Linked DNA regions of Lytechinus pictus. The protein of the gene in region 1 purifies or fractionates together with the protein of each later gene. This does not show direct contact. Links are inferred from orthologs where the notes say so. Each region holds a gene or a part of one and is shown on either strand. Other genes may lie near its edges.

What was found. Proteins that work in one complex are often made in the same cells at the same time.
Region 2: the proteins of nuclear pore complex protein Nup98-Nup96-like (region 1) and nucleoporin Nup43-like purify together in Homo sapiens (affinity purification with mass spectrometry; 4 studies listed by BioGRID and IntAct, counting the BioPlex papers as one, with this or other methods). This does not show direct contact. The link is inferred for Lytechinus pictus from reciprocal best matches to the Homo sapiens genes NUP98 and NUP43.

Annotation. Positions count from the first base shown.
Region 1 is NC_087249.1:39,826,345-39,836,142, forward strand, and holds the start of nuclear pore complex protein Nup98-Nup96-like, read right to left. Parts: upstream 4,021-9,798; 5' UTR 3,936-4,020; intron 3,774-3,935; exon of another isoform or gene 3,623-3,773; intron 1,807-3,622; exon of another isoform or gene 1,718-1,806; intron 1-1,717. UniProt on the Homo sapiens protein: Plays a role in the nuclear pore complex (NPC) assembly and/or maintenance. NUP98 and NUP96 are involved in the bidirectional transport across the NPC. May anchor NUP153 and TPR to the NPC.
Region 2 is NC_087258.1:19,777,423-19,788,321, forward strand, and holds the start of nucleoporin Nup43-like, read left to right. Parts: upstream 1-6,015; 5' UTR 6,016-6,090; coding exon 6,091-6,207; intron 6,208-8,256; coding exon 8,257-8,439; intron 8,440-9,253; coding exon 9,254-9,331; intron 9,332-9,488; coding exon 9,489-9,651; intron 9,652-10,477; coding exon 10,478-10,613; intron 10,614-10,899. UniProt on the Homo sapiens protein: Component of the Nup107-160 subcomplex of the nuclear pore complex (NPC). The Nup107-160 subcomplex is required for the assembly of a functional NPC.

The sequences.
Region 1 (9,798 bases):
CATAAGCACTTGCCCGATTGCCCAGGGCAAGTAAAAGTGTACACTGTAGGCCTAGAGATTAATAAAATCACAACAATTTACGTGATTTTTATATTAAAACAATAAAAGATGGATTTCCTAGGGAAATCCATCTTTGTTTACAAGTGTCTCTTATATGATGGGGGACCTAAAGCTACGCACTTTGTTTTCAAACAATAACAAGTGGAACGCCTCTGGCAGTCTCGCCTGCATTACGCGATTTAATATAGCAGCAGTGCTAACTTTGAAAACTACTATAAAATAATCATTCACAAAAACATCATTCATATAATGACATAATACCACGTTCATTGACCATAAATGACATTTGAACGGAGACTTAAGACTGTCAACTACACCCATGTCCACATTTCATTCACTCTATCCATAAACTTTCAAAGTTATGATGGCACTTCAACAATTACCCCAACATGGCCTAAGTTTATTGACCTTAACTGACCTTTGACTTGGTTTTGTGACCTGAAACTCACAGGGGATGTTCAGTGATGCTTGATTACTCTTATATCCCAAGTTTTATGAACTAGATCCATAAACTTTCACAGTTAGGATGGTAATTCAACAAATACCCCCAACACGGCCAAAGTTCATTGACCTTTAATGACCTTTGACCAAGGTCATGTGACCTGAAACTCGTACAGGATGTTCAGTGATACTTGATTACTCTTATGTCCAAGTTTTATGAACTAGATCCATAAACTTTCAGAGCTAGGATGGTAATTTAACATATACCCCCAACACGGCCAAAGTTCATTGACCTTAAATGACCATTGACCATGGTCATGTGACCTGAAATTCGCACAGGATATTCAGTGGTACTTGATTAACCTAATGTCCAAGTTTCATGAACTAAATCCATAAATTTTCAAAGTTATGATGGTAATTCAACAAATACCCCCAACTTGGCCAAAGTTCATTGACCCTAAATGACCTATGACCTGGTCATGTGACCTGAAACTCGCACAGGATATTCAGTGGTACTTGATTAACCTAATGTCTAAGTTTCATGAACTAAATCCATAAATTTTCAAAGTTATGATGGTAATTCAACAAATACCCCCAACTTGACCAAAGTTCATTGACCCTAAATGACCTTTGACCTTGGTCACGTGACCTGAAACTCGACCAGGATTTTCACTAATACTTGATTATCCTTATGCCCAAGTTTCATGAACTAGGTCCATATACTTTCTAAGTTATGTCATTTCAAAAACTTAACCTTCGGTTAAGATTTTGAAAATAATTTTCCCAACATGGTCTAAGTTCATTGACCCTAAATGACCTTGGTCATGTGACCTGAAACTCGGGCAGGATGTTCATTAATACTTGATTAACCTTATGTCCAAGTTTCATGAACTAGGTCCATATACTTTCTAAGTTATGATGTCATTTCAAAAACTTAACCTTAGGTTAAGATTTTATGTTGACGCCGCCGCCGCCGCTCGTTCATATCATATTTCCTGCATCACAGCCCCACTTTTGCTTTCAGAATTCTTAGCACATCGGCCTCATCACATGGATCATGAACTCGGCAACATTAAAAAAACTCGACGACAGGCGACAACAAACTCATATTAATTTGATTGGAAGTTTATATTCTGAAATTTATATACCGGTACGGTACCAAACGTTACGCCTGCGTTATCTCGCTTTAATACATAATATACAGAAATAACCTTACCAGAACAGAACTTGAAGTCAAAATATCCAGTTTAATCTAGCCTCATTTCCGTCTGAATCTGGTATGCTGTATTGCGCTGTTATACACACATAATACCCGCGCCTCGCTCAGCTCGCGAGCGAAGAGGGAGCTGTTCAAAATGGCGTCAATCCGGAGCAACGAAAGTTCAGAATCAGCCAAACAAAAAGTCAGTTCCACAAAAGAGAGCTCTCCAGAAAATGTTGAGAAACCGTCTACAAGGAAGCCTATTAAACAGGTCTACAATGGTAGAAGTTTCATGCAAGATATATTTTCGGAGTCAATTTTAGGTATGTAACAAAAGCTAACATTGGTTGGCTTGCCCAGTGTCACTGTCAGTGACAGTCGCAAGCGGCCACGCTGCGTAAACCGACATGTAGGACCCATACGAGAAGATCGTTCATATCATATTTCCTGCATCACAGCCCCACTTTTGCTTTCAGAATTCTGTCTAGCATTCAATGTCTTGACATGAATTTTAGACAAGGGAATACGGGAAGGTTCAAGATACATGAAATTTGCGATTTTGTTCAGGTGTTTTTCTTGTCTGCTTTGAACCACTACCGGTAGTTCTCAGTACGTGTGTGGCGGTATCTTACAGACAGCAAAATAGGGGGAAAAAATGCTAGTAGGCTACCGGTATACCGTATTTTCAATGGGAGCTCTGGGCAGGAATAAAGTGAATGATAATTAAAAATAAAAAGTCGGAAGGAGTAAAGATGGGGATTGAAGATTGATTTTGAGATGATGGATGATAGAGAGAAATGAAGGAAAGGCAAATGAAAGAAATTAATTGTCAAATAATACCAATAATTTGTCAAACAAAATAACTTCCACGGAAAGGTAAAGCGCCAGCTTACGTTGACGTTGCGATAAACATTACACATGCATGTCTTATTCGGCTAGCTGCACCGCGCTGTGCGATCGATTGGCGTCTGAACTTTGCCGCGATGACTAAAAAATGACAACAAAGACAGAGTCACACCATTAAAAAAAGTCAGTTTCATGAAGGTAGGTGCGTTTGTTACCGTGATATAACTTTGAGGGACATTTACGGCAGATACCGGTAGTCATAGTTGCTTCCCTTTTATACCCGCGGCTCATACCCCTCTAAACGGGATTGCCCCAAGCGGCTACGCTCGGCCACCCGACGCGAGTTGAAAACTGGTAGTGGTATCGGGCTGAGATTGGCTTGGCTCAGACCTGTCACCGTGTATAAACCGCACCCCCGACTTTTGATTCTGTCCCGCCGAGAAAAAGGTGCGGTTAATACACCGTTACTTACGGTACTGCATTACTGGATTTGAATTGAAGTCAGAATCTAAACCAAGAATAAGATCTAACTTAAGTTAAACAGCCCAGTCACTCACCCTAGTAGTATAATAACAGATCTCTGCAGTCTGCTACATGTAGCTCAGCTCAGCTAAGTCGTCAATCACAATCACTTCTCATCACATTCACACTCACAGTCGACCTAACTCAACTGTGTTAGACCTGTACTATGTAGGCCTACATATCTACATGTATGGTCAGTTCCCCCATGTCTGTGCGGTCTCCCAAGTCTGCGCACCCGCGTATCTGCGCGATTCTAGTAAAAGAAGATACGCAACGAGCACGAACTTTACACATGCAATACATAGACAGGTATTCATAAAAAAATCCGACTCAAAATGGTGAAAAAATAATGAATTCAGGGCATTTCATGTGACGGCCTCAAAATACAGCCTTTCTCATCAAAATCTCTGAATCGTGTGCAAAGTGAATGAGTGCGCAGACATGGGGTACCGGTACCATTTTTTTTTTCAATCTGAAAATGACTGCCCAAGGTTTTTTCAAGAAAATCCTATATTTTCTTTTATTTTTTAATGAGAAATTTGGTATACTTACTCTCAATAATATAAGGAACATTATTATCCAAAAGATTTTGTGAAATAAGAAGAAATTCATGTTAAATCTTAACTCAAATTGTTAGGTGCGCAGACTAAGGGCCCACCATCATACCTAGTCCTACGCTTAGCACATCGGCCTCATCACATGGATCATGAACTCGGCAACATTAAAAAAACTCGACGACAGGCGACAACAAACTCATATTAATTTGATTGGAAGTTTATATTCTGAAATTTATATACCGGTACGGTACCAAACGTTACGCCTGCGTTATCTCGCTTTAATACATAATATACAGAAATAACCTTACCAGAACAGAACTTGAAGTCAAAATATCCAGTTTAATCTAGCCTCATTTCCGTCTGAATCTGGTATGCTGTATTGCGCTGTTATACACACATAATACCCGCGCCTCGCGCTCGCTCAGCTCGCGAGCGAAGAGGGAGCTGTTCAAAATGGCGTCAATCCGGAGCAACGAAAGTTCAGAATCAGCCAAACAAAAAGTCAGTTCCACAAAAGAGAGCTCTCCAGAAAATGTTGAGAAACCGTCTACAAGGAAGCCTATTAAACAGGTCTACAATGGTAGAAGTTTCATGCGAGATATATTTTCGGAGTCAATTTTAGGTACGTAACAAAAGCTAACATTGGTTGGCTTGCCCAGTGCAGTGTCACTGTCAGTGACAGTCGCAAGCGGCCACGCTGCGTAAACCGACATGTAGGTCCCATTCATAGTTCCTGCTGTTGGGTGTACAGCCTATACAGGAGGCGCGGCGTGGACTAGCCTTGATCTCCATGATGATATTTATTAATATTTTGACATATACTTCATCATGGAGCCTTGATGAACCGCCTGCCATATATGTATAAGAGACTCATCAAAACAATGATGGATTTCCCTAAGGCCTAGGAAATCCATCTAAGATAAAAATCACGTAGGCCTAGGCTAAATAAATGTTTGTCACTTTGTGATTTTGGCTGCCGTGATTTTCTTTAAAATTTTAAATTATTGCCTTATTGGCAAATTTTAGTTTTACACCTTCATACGCCTAATGCGTATGAAGGTTTCAAAAATTGGTTAATAAAAAGGTTAAAAATTGAAGATTTCTTACCAGACGTCAGACCGATCTCGTGTAGATCCCTCGATCCGTTTGTCAACAAAGCAAATACAATAGGTCTGACCCTTAATTGTCACTTGATCGAACCGCATCGTTATGACATGTATGACGTACCTTTGATTAGCGATGTTACAAAATGCCGTTTTGAAGAACAATTTATTATAGATCCACTAATACTAAAATTTAATACGTGATTATAATAATTATTTGGCCTTGAAATTCCTGGAGAAAGAAAGTCTCACAATTCACAAGATTTTGCAGGGATGAGCATGATCGGTTAAAGGAGAATGAAACTCTTGGAGCAAGTTAGCTTTTGTGAAAGCAGAAAAATCAAAGAATAAGATCAACAAAACTTTGAGTAAAATAGGACTAGCAATAAAAGAGTTATGAGCATTTGAATGTCGAGATCACTAATGCTATTAGAGGTGGGCTATAGAGGGTCAATATTAGGTCACATTTTCAGAACATGCTCATCACACCCTAGTTTGATGAGTTTGTGCCTGCTGACACCATTTTTGAAAAAAAAAATTAAAAAAATGTGAAATCCGGGGTGCCCTGACCGAAAACGTAAAAAATCCAAGATGGCCGCCGTTTTGGCTAAAAAGAGACAATTTTGGCTGTTACTCGGTCATTTTTTTGTCTATTGTAATAATTTTGGTGTCTAACCCCATGTTTTAGGGGTCAAAGAAATTGAATATAATGATATTTTTGGTGTTAAACCTAATCTTCTACATTATACTCACCTTTTCCCCATATTTAATGTTAAATTTTCATTCTCCTTCACCCCTACCCCAACAGCAATTGTACTTTTTTCTGTATTTTCTTCAAGTCATGCTAGCTATGATATTCTTAATAATGAATTCTAGCTATTAAAGGTGTTTTTTTTTTTGTATTTTAAACAATACAGCAAGAAGTATACAAATAACTTACATACATGTATGTGTCAAGCAGAAAACCTGTATGTGGCTGGTGAATTTCGAGTCGACAGGCATGGTAACTGTGGAGCCAATAGTAATACTGTATCTGCTTAAAAGTACCAATTAATAAGATTTTGGTCATTAGACCTCTAGTCAGAGAGTACATACAGGTCCACTGTGGGTGTACATATTTAATTGTAAAATGACTTGAATAAGCCTTCTACAATATGCCAATTGTCAAGCACAAATGTCATGTTTCTGCTGGAAGTTGTATCCCATGAGCCAATTACATTACATGGAAGGATCTGCATCGGCAGTACTGTATGTACATCATCTTTCTTTGGCCATCTCCATTGCTCATGCTGATCTTTTCCTTTCACTCTTTCCATGTGCTCGATTTCATATCCGTCTTTATTTTGGTCTCGACACATACCAAGGTACCAGTTTCGTTTATCTTTGTAATCCCATATCACAATACAGAACTCATTGATGCCCACTTCTTTATCGGTATTTTCTTCAAGGTTGGAATGGGCAGTTGGCTGTGTGATCCCACTGGATGGCTTTAGATTGAATGCATTCACCATGTCATCTTCAGTTGGAAGATCAGGGGCAGGGAGATTATCAGACTCTCCTCCAGTCAATAGAAGAGTCAAGTTCACCTTCATTTGTGTTTCACATAGTTGGTTGACCTTATACAAGTGTGGGCGCACCAAGTAATCTCGATGGGAGATGTGTCTGCGATATGACAGCTCTGCACGTAACATAGTTTTAAGCTTGGTGGGATCTTGGGTATCCAGGCATTCCTGAAGCTCATCAACATTTGTTAAAGGACCTCCCCATGTTTTACATTTCTGTAACAGCCTATGCACATACTCTACTGCTTGTTGTGCTTGGGCCACATTTCGCTGAAGCTTTTCCTGAGAGAGGATGTTGCTCTTCCACCCATTTCTGTTCACTCTTATCCAACACTTTTGCAATGTTATGGGTCACTTTTTCCACAGTTACTACACCAGCCTTGTTCAAAGTCATATCATCTCGAATACCCTTGCCGGTGAAGTTTCTATTGGAAGCAGCTGCAGACCGTTTTGCGAGTTTGTCAAACTTTGACAGATCCCGCTCACACTGCAAATTGTTTGTAGGTAGATTGGTGAGATCTTCTGGTGTGAGTTTGTGGAGTTCAGTTGCTCTAGGTTCTGCCAAACCCGTTTCTGCTGTTTGCTGAAATCCATACTCACGTCCTCTCTGAGTGGCTAAATCTTTGGCAGCTTGCTGACACATTTGCTGCAGAAGATACATGCCTACAGTTGTCTCTGGTTTTTCCACTTGGAAAGAGTATGGTACCTTGTATGAAGACAGCGTATCTGTCTTGTTATTCAGCAGATCATCATGAAGACGTGGGAGGATGGTCACTAGATCATTCTGAGAGCTGACTTCTACCATATTAAGGAATGGGAGGGTTATGCAGTATGTGAACCAGGCCAATACCTTCAATGCTAGCATGATGAAGTCACACTCAAGGTACAGATGGCAGGCTTGAACAAGTAGGTTGTTGGATTTGGTGTTCTGCAATGTTGCCTCATACTCTGGGATGTGATATAGAATGGCCGCAGCAGTGTATCCCATCTGAGCAAATCGGCGTTCTTTAAAGAGGCTGTGCTTCTTTGTTTTGCCTGCAGATGCAACCTCACACTCGAAGATCTCCCACATGGACGACTTGTGTCCATCATTACTTACTAGTTTTGTCAGTGCCTGTATTGCTGCTATGATTACACTCTTCTTGAGGAAGGATTTCAGGGTCGGCATGTGTGCAATTAGCTTTTCACGAAGCCCTAACTTGACTTCATGCTGAACAAGGGTAGAGATATTGCCTGCATCAAATACCTCACATGTGTGGCTCACACACAACAAGTGTAGAGGTATGTGCTGACTGTTAAGAGATGCTGCTATTTGAGACTCAATGTGTAGGTTTTTGGCAACTGAGTCAGTCATAAATGCAAAAACCTTCTTCCACAGATCCTCTTGTGAGGCTTGGTTGCACGTAGCAAGAGAGAGACGCTTGATAACTTCAACCATTAACCTTGTGATATTTTCTCGATTTTCAAGAGCCATAGACAAAGGTCGCATTCTGAAGAGTTTCCCACTTGCTAGTCGGACAATTATGGATGTCCACTCTCCAGAAATCCTACGCCGTGTTGTAGTATCATAGTGTATAGTCACTTTGTCTTCACCAGATGCATCAAGAATAGCCAGTGCAGCATTACGTTCTTGCTGTATTGCTTGCATGTGTTTCTCACGTGCAAGGACACGGGCTGAAGGCAGAACATGCTGGTAAGTTGCTGCATACTCTGCAGCTTTCCTAGGACGCTTAGGAGACTTGCTAGTAGCTTGACCTGCAGTTTGAAAATAAAAAAGGACACAGCTTTTGTACTAGTACAAGAAACATTTTTTTTCTTTTTCATATTCACTTTCTCGTTCTCTCTTTATCATGATTTATTATTATGCAATGCTGTAATCTATGCTAACATTATCCTGAATATGTTGGCTGATTGGACATTTAGAAATGTTATATCTTGATCAATTTATACATTGTATTTTGTTCCCTTGTAAACTGAATGCAACTTAGCCTACAGGCTTGAATGTATTACTCACCCAATTCATTCTGTAGAGCTTCATCTGCAGATAAGAAAAAAAACACTTCACTGGTCACTTGAAATGATCGACGTGCTTGTTCTACACTTATTGAGGCTTGGCTGCTTGCTGATGCCAGAGCGCACTTAATTTTGGGGTCAAAGTTGCGTTTTCCAGTACGAATTGGAACAGCCGAGTTGACATCAAGAGTAGTCTGAGTGGCTTCATCAACTTTTGGCACGGTTTGTCGAATTGAGCCTGCCCTTGTAAATGAGGTATTTAAGTCAGTTGACACAGACATGTGATCATCCTGATAATCGGCATCCATCGCAGCAGCAGGCAGTCTTGCACCATCTTCAATAAAAGCCAGTTCTGCTTCTTCGGCCTGACGATGCTCCAATGCTTCACTTCGCTCCTGTTCACCAGCAACATCATACTCAAGATCGATCTGATCACTCAGTGCCATCTTTCTAGCACCAAATTTTTTATCGTAATAGAAGGCACGTTCATCAGGATCAAACTTGTCAGGATCAGAAGTCGGCTTCAAAATGTCAAATAACCCTGACACTTCAGCTTTCCATCTGAGGTGATGAATTCGCCTTTCCTTTCTTGCCTTTTTGAGAACTTTACTTGAGTATGCTTGTATTGCACTATACAGCCTTTTCTTGATTGGGTTGAGAGTCAGTACATGTTCTTCAGAAAATGCCTTCTGCCACTGAAATTGGAGGGCTTCAGCAAACTTGTGAATTGCGTGTTTCTGCTTTGTAGATTCACGTTTGGAAGAATAGTTGGTTATAGTCAGAACACACTCACTTGTGGTAGGTAGCATGTCCATGAAGACAAATACCAAATGGTCATTGGTTTCAGCAGCCATGTCTTCCAAGTTGAATCATACATGTAGTAAAGGCACATTGTGTCAGCAATTATGGACCCCAGAATTAGACCAGAGAACTGGGAATGACTGCCAATAAAGTGGCATGAGTGGAGGTAGCAAAAGACAATCCTCCTTCATTTTATAGCCACTTTCAGCCACAGAGTGAGATGATGACTTTACCATATGATGCAAGGAGAGGAACATGATGTATTACATAACATTTGTTTGTCATAGATAAGTACATAAATGGCATCAAATTCCCCATCAAACATGAGGAAAGTATTACTAAATGGTAGGGATCAGCAGATGGTTGAGAAATAAGGATTAGGTGGTGATGTAGTGACATTACATGCATTGATGAAGGGAGCTGTGCTGGAACTAGTTGTCTATACTTACAAAGTGGAAGATAAAATTTTGGATAATGGGCATGAGACAAGGAGAAGCAAAAAAAACGAAGGCTTAAACTAACGATTGTGATGCACACGTCAGCTGTAGAATCGCGATATTGTAATAATTCGCATTTTTTGAGAAAATAAGTAGAAATTTGATTAAATACTGATATAACATGAATTTGAACACTTATATATTAAAATGAATGTCATAAATGGGTTCAGTGACCCCAAAAACATAGGTTTAGAC
Region 2 (10,899 bases), on another chromosome or scaffold:
TATTGGCTAAACCTACTTTAATTGGCTAAGGATTTTTCACGGGATTGTTTGTCCTTATTGTGACCATTAGCAAGCTTATAGTTTAGTGTACTCCAACGATGTTGTAGGACTAACCATGTTCATCGATCAAAGTAGAATGTCTATTGCTGCTCTCCTTCAGACAAAATTAGATGCGCTACTGATGTTGGCAGGGAGGGGTGGCGGGGGTATCGTAGCCAGCACAAAATTCCATGAAAACACACGAGAATCGAAAATCACTCAAAATCATAGGCAATCTTCTCCCAATGCTTATCCAGTCTATTCTTAAATGCAATCACTGAACAAGCAGTAACTACATCTTCTGGGAGATGATTGTTCCACACATCTATCATTCGGTTAGCAAAGAAAAACTTACGCACATCAAGACCTTTTCTCTAGCTTTAAGGAATGACCACGTGTTTTACCACCATTTCTCAGACAGAAAAGCTCAGAACTTCTATCATAGTAACCATGCAGATATTTGTACACGTCAATCATGTCACCTCTTTTATGTCTGTCTGTGACTGAGTGATGGCAATTTCAGGAGGCGAAGACGTTCAGAGTATGATAGGTGCTTAATACCTGGGATGATCCCGACCTTTCGTTGGAAGAACGCTAACGCTTATTTACGACGTTAGTTGATTTTGGAATTGACTTTTGGGCCCGTCGTCATGGTCTTAAAACTCTGTCCTGCAATGCAAATTGTGCGACATGAGATTTTTTTTTTCGTTTCGCATCTGGAACGGAAACATTCAATTTGCGTTTCGTGTACAAAATTCTGGTTGCTACTATGGTAACAGCGATATATCCGATTTAGGACGACTTTCCAAATCCACATTTGGTTCCTCCCAGAGCTCGAAAGGCCGCCCGGGGGGCCCACTTTCATTGAAGAGTGGATACCAGGCGCAACAACGCGTGACAAGGGAAAGAGTGGGTAAGTACGTTACGTATATAGGCCTATGTAACGTTATAAAGGTGTCAAAAACGATGATTAAAATACTGATAAAAGGGATATATTTCCAATACTTGTAGGGTTTCACAAGCCAAATAATTGTTAAAAGATGCATTTTCATAATCTGGAAAAGACTTGCTTCCCTTGTTTAGGGTACTTTTCGAAACCCCATGGTCGTGCCTGGTATCCACTCATCAATGGAAGTGGTCCCCCCGGAATTTGAATCTAACCCCCCATTTCAGGGGAAAGTAAAACATAATACCCTTTACATCGTGTGCTAGAGGCGTATCGTTTGTGTAGAAGGAGTGAACAAAAGAAACAAAAGAAACCCGCATGTTCAAACGTATTGCATACGCTGTGTACATATGCGAAATGGGTTCGGCTGGAGAGGTGATCTGACCCATGGAATCAATTGCCAGTCATCCACCAATAATCCACATTAAATGCAATATCGTTTCCATGGACTGTAATGATCTACATCTAAGCCTTAATTTAGTAAGTTTTTCCTCACTTAATATGTACTCGATTTGTTTGAAACACCACTTTCTTATACATGTCATATTCTATTTTAGGTCCTGCATTTCGAATATCTCCAGCCATCAGTCGTAATACATGCATGTATGGCGCGCGGGTGTCGCGGGAAAGAATTTTGCACACGAAAAGCAGATCTGTAGGGCCTGTAACCCCCCCTGTAAAACAAATCTTAGCATTGATTGTAGAGCAGTTTTCTACGTTTGATTCTATTGACTATAATGCAGGGGCCGCGGAACCGGGGGGGGGGGGGGGCTTCAGCCAGAGGCGTCGATCATGGGGGGGGGGGCAGGGGGGGCAACCGCCCCACCAATGAAAATATTGGGGGGCAAACATATCGTTTTGCCCCCCCAATAATTCCGCATGTGCAAAAAATAAAATAAGATTGTAATGTTACACAGAAATCAGCAAGCGAGATTGAAATACACAACTCGTTCTTCATCTAAAGTCGTGCTAAAAATGTCCGGTTTTCAGATTAGAATATAAAAAAATTTCAGCTCGCGCTTCGCGCTCGCATCATTTCTGTAGCAAAAACCCATACTTTTCATGATTGAATAGGTGAATAGAATGTCCCGTTTTCAGTTCTATACCTCAAAAGAACTCCCACTTCGATTTGCAATAATCTTTTGTTGGATTTATTTCTTGTTCTTTATTAAAAACGTCAATTAAACTCTTGTTTTTTAAGATCAAAATATCAAAATTTTCAGCTCGCGCTTCGCGCTCGCATCTATTATTTTTTAATTTTTTTTACATTTAATTTGTTGGTGAGATGTGTGTGTGTGTGTGTGTATATATATATATATATATATATATATGTATATATATATATAATCTATATATATATATACATATAGGCATATGTGTGTGTGTGTTTGAGTCTGTTTTGTGTGATCGAGCGCCTTTGGAATGTTGATTCATGATTTTGCCCCCCCAATCTGAAAAATGGATCGACGCCTCTGGCTTCAGCCCCCCACTTTTTTTCCAAAACCGTGTACAAAAACGTAAAAATGACCATATGATTGTGATTTTTTAGCATGGTCAGCCCCCCCCCACTTTTGGCTCAGCCCCCCCCCCCACTTTGAAAACCGTTCCGCAGCCCCTGTAATGTACAATCAATCTTAAAAATCAAGTGTATGATTAAGCGTCAACTTTTGTGTTAGGGGACCCTAATATTAGCGTCCGTGAGCCGTGAGGATTGCGAAAGGTGGCAAATAATAGACGCCATCCCACCTTTCTTCCCGTTCTTTATATTTTTCTATCCTCGGCAACCCGGTCTTGTTATTAAGTTATTCTCTTTTTTTCTCGTCCCTTTTCTCTATATTTTGATTTTCCAATTAAGCTTTTGGTTCTACCTTCATTTCCGTTTCTTTCTGCCTCTTTCTCCAATTTTCCCGCCATTCTTGTCCGTGCCATTGAGTCATATCTTTTGATTTCATATCCCTCTCTTGGTATCATGCTATAGTGTATTAGTATTTCAGGATATTTGTACTTCCTCACGTGTTCTCCTTTCCTTTTCCCGCTTTCCTTCCATTTTCCCTCTTTATGTTCTTTCTTTCCCTTTCTTTTCATTTTTTTCCCTTTCTTTTTCACCTTTCCTCTTTTTCTGTCTTTCCTTCCCTTTCCCTTTCCCTTTCTCTCTTTCCCGGTTTTTTTTATTTTCCCGGTGAAATCCGCCGCCCCCCGCCTGTTAATTACGCCACTGTACTGAAGTAGGGGACACGCGTCCCCTTGCCCCCTATGGGATTTTCGCCCATGGAAGATGATGAGGAGGAGGAGTAGGAGAGTGATGATGGTGATAACGTTGGTGGTGATAGTGATGAGGATGATGATGATGAACACGACGAATTGATTGATTGATTGAAATATCACAGGAGATTACAATTAAATTGAAGAATACCTTGACAGGATAGCCCATGAAAGCCGAAAGGCTTATTTCCAATGGGGTCCTATAGTTAGTATAAAACATTAACATATTGTAACAAAACGTATAAACTACGACAAGTACTGGAATATGGATAAAAAAATGATAAAATACATACATATCCATCAGTCAAATAATATGCAAACATCTGAAGCAAACAACAATCTTCCTAATATATGAAACAAGATTATATTTTAACTTAACCTACATTATCTACAATACTAGAAACCAACTGTACAAAATGTGTGATTTTTACTGGTAATATACTGCTCTCGAGTAGCTTCCAGTTATGTTTATGTCATGATCTCATGGAGGTAACTCATCATGACGATGATAGGTAAGGTAGGCCTACGTGGTGTACTCATGAACATTGAATATGATGACGGCCATGTCGACAATATTCATGGCGACGAGTCCCGCGACCAGGGGCGGAAATCTCTCCCAAAAGGTAGGGGGACACAAGGGCGGATCCAGCCTTCGCCAATGGGGGGGGGGGGGGGGGGGGGGCGGGGGGCGCGCGGACATTTGTTTCAGCCATATTTTCCCCGATCGGCAGCGGAAAATTTCGAGATTTAGTCCTATAATATTTACTGAACGAGACACTCTATTCATGTTTTGTAAATCATGAAAAGGATGAGTATTAATAATGCGAGCAGAAAATTTTTATATACGTTTTGAACTGGTACCTGTTGAAAAGACTGCTTGCACTAAGCCATGAAGGCGTTACATATTTCAACAATCAAAAAGTGCGAGCGCGAAGCGCGAGCTGAAAATTTTTGAAAATTTCTAAAGAAAGAATGGAAAATTTTAATCAATTTTCGGAATCGTGAACAGGATAGCTATATAATTCAACAATTGATGCGAGCAGAAAAAAAATCGAGATTTAGACCTAAAAATGGGCCACTCTGTTCATGTTTTGTAAACAGCCATAGGCTGATCGAGGGCTTTTTAACGTGTTTAAATAAAATAAATCAATCAAAATCAATGTTTTGTAAATCATGAAAAGGATGAGTAATATAAGGGGGTCTTCCTACATTAATAATGCGAGCACAAAGCGCAAGCAGAAAAATTTTGATATTGTGATCTGAAACTGGATAATGATTTAAATAGAGAACAAGTGGAGTATTTGAATAAACATGCGCGCGCGTGTTTCATAATTTAGAACAAGAATCTAGGCATTCTAAATACATCTTTAATCATGAAAATCATGAAACATTGATATTCCGATCTGAAAAAAAAGTCAATTACAGCTTTATATTTCAAGCACTTTGTAGGAAAATTGTAAAGTGGAAATGGATCACACTTAAAAAAAAGAGCTAAAATTTTCATTATTTTTACTTTGAGTTTTGACATAGGACCGGGACAGCCTTATACGACATGTCATGAAAATGATGACTATCTTCCTATTCCTCTTGCTTAGCGCGAGATGAAACAAAAGGGACAATTTAATTATTAAATTAATATCATATTTATTGATGCCTAATGAGGGCGAGAAATCTGATGATATTATGGCATAAAAACTGGACATTTCACTTTTGTAATTATGAATAGGATGCATCAGTTAATATATTTTTAACCATTAATGCGAGCGCAAATCGCGAGCTAAAATTTTGATAAACTGAAGCAGCGAATGTTGATAACATTATTCAGACCATAAAACTGACATTTTTACAGAGCACCTTTTAAAAATCAATTTGTAAATCACACAAAATAATGAAAGTTCGATTTCCGAGGTGAAATATGTTTTGTATATTGACTTCCAAACTTGATAGTTGAGCTCCATATTAAACAAGATATGTCAATCACCTAACAGGCAATGCGAGAGCGAAGCGCGAGCGAAAATTTTATATAGTGGCACGAAAGATTCTTTTTATTTTCCAAGTCTTCCCCTCATTTTATTTTATGCACTCGTCGTCCTTCTCTTCTTTTTCTCCTCTCTTTTCCCTCCTTTTTTCCCTTTTCCTTCTTTCTTTCCCTTTTTTTCCCTTTTTTTTTCTCCGCCAATAGGGGGGGGGGGGCCTCGGCCCCCTGGATCAGCCTATGGGGACAAGGGGCGGGAAAATTTGACTAGCAAAAAAAAGGTTATCATCCCAAAAGTACTATCATCTCGTCCCAACTCGTCCCAAAATACATGTTTTATTGATCGATTTAGAATGATGTATTTCTTACTATCATAAAAGACAAAAATAGTAGGGGGGACATTTGATATTGTGTCCCCCCTACTATTTTGAGTAGGGGGGACACGTCCCCCCTGTCCCCCCTGGGATTTCCGCCCATGCCCGCGACGAGTGAAGATGCATGATCAGGATTGTGATGACATATGCTGATTTGGCTGGTGACGATTGTTGTCTAAGGTGGAGTTGCTCAGCTGGCTGGGTGCATCTTTGTGGCGGGTATCCCCGGGTATCTAGACCTATACGCCTTACGGAGACACCAATGATCGTAGAATTATGGTAATGGTACAGGGGTTAATCGATCTTTAATTCTGACTCGATCATTCTTTGATTCAGAAGGTAATTATTTCCCCCATTCCTTCCTTCCCTACTCCCCCCCGGCCCCTCAACCAGAAATCAAACCGGATGCGATGCGCGCCATCTACGTTCACACAATTACAGCGGCAGCGGAAAATCAAAATTTGATTTGAAGACTTTGTCTGAAGTGAAATAAAATGGATATTTTTGTCAAGTTTGTTTCGCAGAAAGTTGGAAAAGTCAGATGGCAGCCTTCTTCATTCAAAGGAATTCAATTCTCCGATACATTTTTAACCGGAAGTTGGGATGATGAGGTACGTGTTTTATAGCTCCTTGACGATAGATCACGAATGAAAACTTGTGAAATTCAATTGAGCTGTAACTTAGTGTGTACGGTTCAGATGCTTATTTCCGTTGCGTATGTACGCGAGACCGCTTTCGGTTGGGAGCGCCCGTCTTGCCCCCAAAAAAGAAATAATTTGCAAGTTAACTTTTGGCAATAAAGTCATTCATATGTACTCTAATTACTGGCGAATTTGCAAACTACCAATACTATGACATGATTAACGTTCATCATGTTCATAATTGTGGGCATGAAAAATTGATGATTAAAAAAACATTTATTTTATGGGTATGATAACCATGAAATATGAATTGAAAAGACAATTTTTTGGGGGTGGCCTTTTTTTTTTAGCCTGCCTTTTGGGCACTTAAGCTTTGCAGATTTAAGTTGGAGTTGGACTTCACGATCAGATTTTTCACAAGGCCAAGGGGTACCACAATAATACCTCAAAACACCCCAAATAAAAAAAAAAGAAAGATAGCAAATCATGCAGAAATGCACCCACCTCGGCTCAATCCTATAGGCTATAAGTACTATAATGATGTTTGTCCGCACAGACTCCCTATCCTCAATAAGTACTACTACTAGGCCTAGTACTAGTATTCGGCAACATGATCCTCAAAATAATAGTTGGGCTTCTTTTCTCCCATTCAAAATTGCACACAATGCACTAGACAGGAATAACCGTCGTTTCTGGGGATTTATTCAACAATTTCTGACATTTTACTGTAATCCCCATTTACCGACGGTAGGGTGTACGTGTGGGCTCGCATGTGTTCTCATTCCCTCCCTTTTGTCAATTCACAGTCCAAAGTTTGATGTAATTTTACACATCGAATTTACAATCTAAGGATGTATAACCAACAAACTTTTAAAACTTGATATTCCATTATCAAAATACTTTAAACGATATAGATGAAAAGGCATGAAAATTATACTTTACCGATGTTTAATTGGGTTGAACACGATAAAAATGGTCAAAATGGCAGCCAAACTATGAAATATTTACAAACGAACGGAGAGGGCGTCAACAATCACGAATATGATATCGATATTGCTTTCGATATTATACGATCTGCTCCATACGCGAGCGTACCGAAACACCGTTACCATCACAGGTAGCAGACGACATTCGATATATCGAGACATTAAAAAGTTAATAACAATAATGAAGTCATTCAAGATGGCAACTTGCAAGAAAAACCCTCAGCTCAGGTGAAAATGTCTTAGATGAAAGATTTCTCAATCATCCAGAGGATTTTTTTCAATAACTTCTGTCCAAGGTACGCAATTACTTAAGTTATTTATATTTCCCTGATAATTGAAACCATGAAACTGTAAATTTCGCTTAAAAACAGTTTAAAATCGCGACCTATAAAACGTTAGTTCACTTAATACGTTGGCTGTACGTACGGGCCTCCAAGCTCTTCAGTCTATGTATTGGTGAGTGGAGCCAACGTAGTTCAGCGGAACAACCAAAATACAGAGACTGAAGCTTTTGGTCTAACAATGCACAAGATGACGGACTATCGATGGGCGCATGCGCAAATTCTAACTGAAGTTGAAATTATTTAAAAGATCTGCCCACAGCAGCTCACCCATTTTTTTGCATGATTTCAGTCAATGTGACTTTAGTCTGGATATAATCAAAATTAAGGCGAATCCAAGTAATTTTGATGTAAACTGAAGTTAGCGACTAAAATCATGTGAACAAACAGTTGAGCTGCTGTGGGCAGATCTTTTCATCGCTAACTTGAGCTAGAATTCGTGTATGCTCCCATCGGGACTGGTCTGCCGTTTTGTGTGCAATTTTGAACGGGAGAGAGTGGACGCCGAGCTATTTTCTCTTTTTTCTTATCATGATATACTGTAATAAATATAACCTTTGATGTTGGATGATTGGTTTCAAATCGTCAGAAATAATCTTAGGTCTCCTATGGCCATGCCATGCAATCTTGTCTATTGTGTAAACTTTGAGAATAATTCTTTCATTTTCATCTTACAAAAAAAAAATCTGCAGGAGAATAAGATCTCACTTTGGAAGGTTCCAGGTGTCCAGAACAAAGCAGGGGCTGCAGGAGCCTGGCAACAAGACTATCCACAGCAGAGGACCACAGCCTTAGAAGGACAAGCAGGAGAAGAAGAACAGGAGCCTGTATTGCTCTGTCAGATGAAACATGATGGGGATGTCACAGATATACAGGTATAAGTTTTCTATAATTGATTGATTCATTCCTATTTTGTTTTGGATTTATCTAAGATTTAATATTGCTTCATGAAGTTCAATGAAACAAAAAATGTGAAATTAAGTTGGCATTAAAAGTTGACCATCCGTAAGACATGTATTTCACGTAGTTGAAGTTTTTTAAAAAAAAATCAGATTATGCAAGATATGTGTGAGTGCCTCCTCAAACATGAAACTCTCCTTGTTAGAGTTTTAAGCTCCTGCAAAACCTGACTTTTGTTCATGTCTATGTATGTAGGCAGGGTGACCAGAACAATAAATCACATACATGTACATGTACCATGATAAAATTTAATTATCTATTCTTGGCCTTGGGTCATGAATTCCTATGTTCATTCATATTTAATTGGTTCGCTACATGATCATAATTATAAGTAAGCACTAGATAACTGTGATTTATGCTGCATTTCGATAAATTTTTGCTAAGGCTCTTGGAGGCCCATGCTTTGCAATCAATGGTATTACCGTACTTCTCTTTTTTTTTACCCCCCTTAATCAATTTTCCCCTCTATTTTGAAATGTTACACTCGATGATCTTCCAAGAACTTTGATTTGCTGGAATTTTATAACCAATCCTGCAGTTATTTTTGAATTGCTTCATTATTTCATTTTCCAAAAAGGAATTTAGACATCTTGATGTTTTCATATTCTGATTTGTTCTACACTTATTCACTTGAACACTTTATCAATCTTGTAGCATGTCATTCTTAGGTCCATTCAGGGTAAATGTGCAAATAATTGGCATTCTTGTATTCTATTTTCATTCCTGTAGTTTGTCAACCAAGATGTTTTCTTAGCTTCTTCATCATGCGGAAGTGTTCAAGCGTTCAGGTGCAACAAAGCTAAAGGGGTAAGTCTGGGCATGGAAATACTATTAAACTATTTTGTGTAATTGCCACTTTGTCTATTTGCAAGTTTGGCTGTGCATTTATTGTCTTATTTCCACTTGGTATAATGAATGATAAGGTAAAATAATCATAAAAAATTCACCTCCTCTACCTCTTCAGGACTTTGCGCCCTCTCAGAAATGGTCCGGCATTCATCACCACCCTGCCGACACCTGTTCCTGTACCTGCATAGCCGTCAATGGAACGGACATCTCCACCTGCGGAGAGGACGGAAGGATTAACGTCCTGCGGCTGGAGCACAGACAACCGATAAGAACCATTGGTGAGCAGGGGCAGATCCAGGATTTTTCGAAAGGGGGGGGGGCACATTTTCTTGAGGAAAAATTTGACAAGCAAAAAAAAAAGAAGAAAAAAAGGGTTTTAACCAAAAGTTAAGGGTATTTTGTCCACGAAAAAAATTTGAAGAAGTTGTTTTTTGGAGGAATAAAATCAGACAAGAACACAGGTGTAAACAGACAATGTCATACCAATCAATTGAGGGGGAAGACAATAGTTCATACCCCCCTTCCTATGATCAATAGGTTCACTGCTTGAATTTACGCCGGTGGACAAGAAGATGGATGAAAATTTGAATATTAGCAGACAAACAATAAGAAAATTCTTTTTTAAAGAAGAATGAAAACCCTGGAGCAAGTTAGCTTGTTTGAAAGCAGAAAATAAATGAATAAGATCAGTGGAAGTTGGCAATAAGAAATTTATGAGCACTTGAATGTTAAGCTCACTAATGGTATGGAGATCCTCATATTGGCCATGCAAACAAGCTCTTTGATGTCATACTTGTACAACTCACCCCTTTGGACAATGAAATTATCCCCAAAACATCTCCCTTTGAGTCTCTGCTCATTCTAATGATTTGACAAACAATTCAACCATGATGAAACATCTATTACCTGTCGTCTCATTAAAAAGAATACAGTGAATATAATGATGGCCTAGATAAAAGAGAAGTGAAACATGTACTAGGGTAATGTGGAAGTTGTATGAGTGAGATATCACATATCTTGGTCACATCACCAGTTTTGCATTAAGCGGATCTTGTGAAGAGCTTATGAAATAGCCCCTTGCGTATTTTTTCTCATCATACATAGATGAAGCTGATAGCTGCAGCATCAACGCATTGACACACCTGAAACAGCATGAGGTAATAACAGTGAATTCGGCTGGGCAGCTCAAGATATGGGACTTACGGCAGCCGGGCTCACAGCCAACAAGGTTCTTTATAGTGTAAGTAACCCATCTTTTGACAATTTTTTTCATTTACCCATTCAAGTAAGCATTTACTTTCTTCCATTTTTTCACAAAATGGCATTTTTCAACACTAAAGGTACAACTGCAGGCACATACCCTTGGTTTTGGAATAGAGCATAAAACAGTCTGAACCAGGAGACTAGATTCACTGTGACTTTTTGACTCAGACATTGTACTGAATGTTTATATATATATATGTCAAATTCAATTTCGGCGCGGTCAACGGCCGACATCTCGAGGGGGAGGGGGGCCTGGCCTCGGC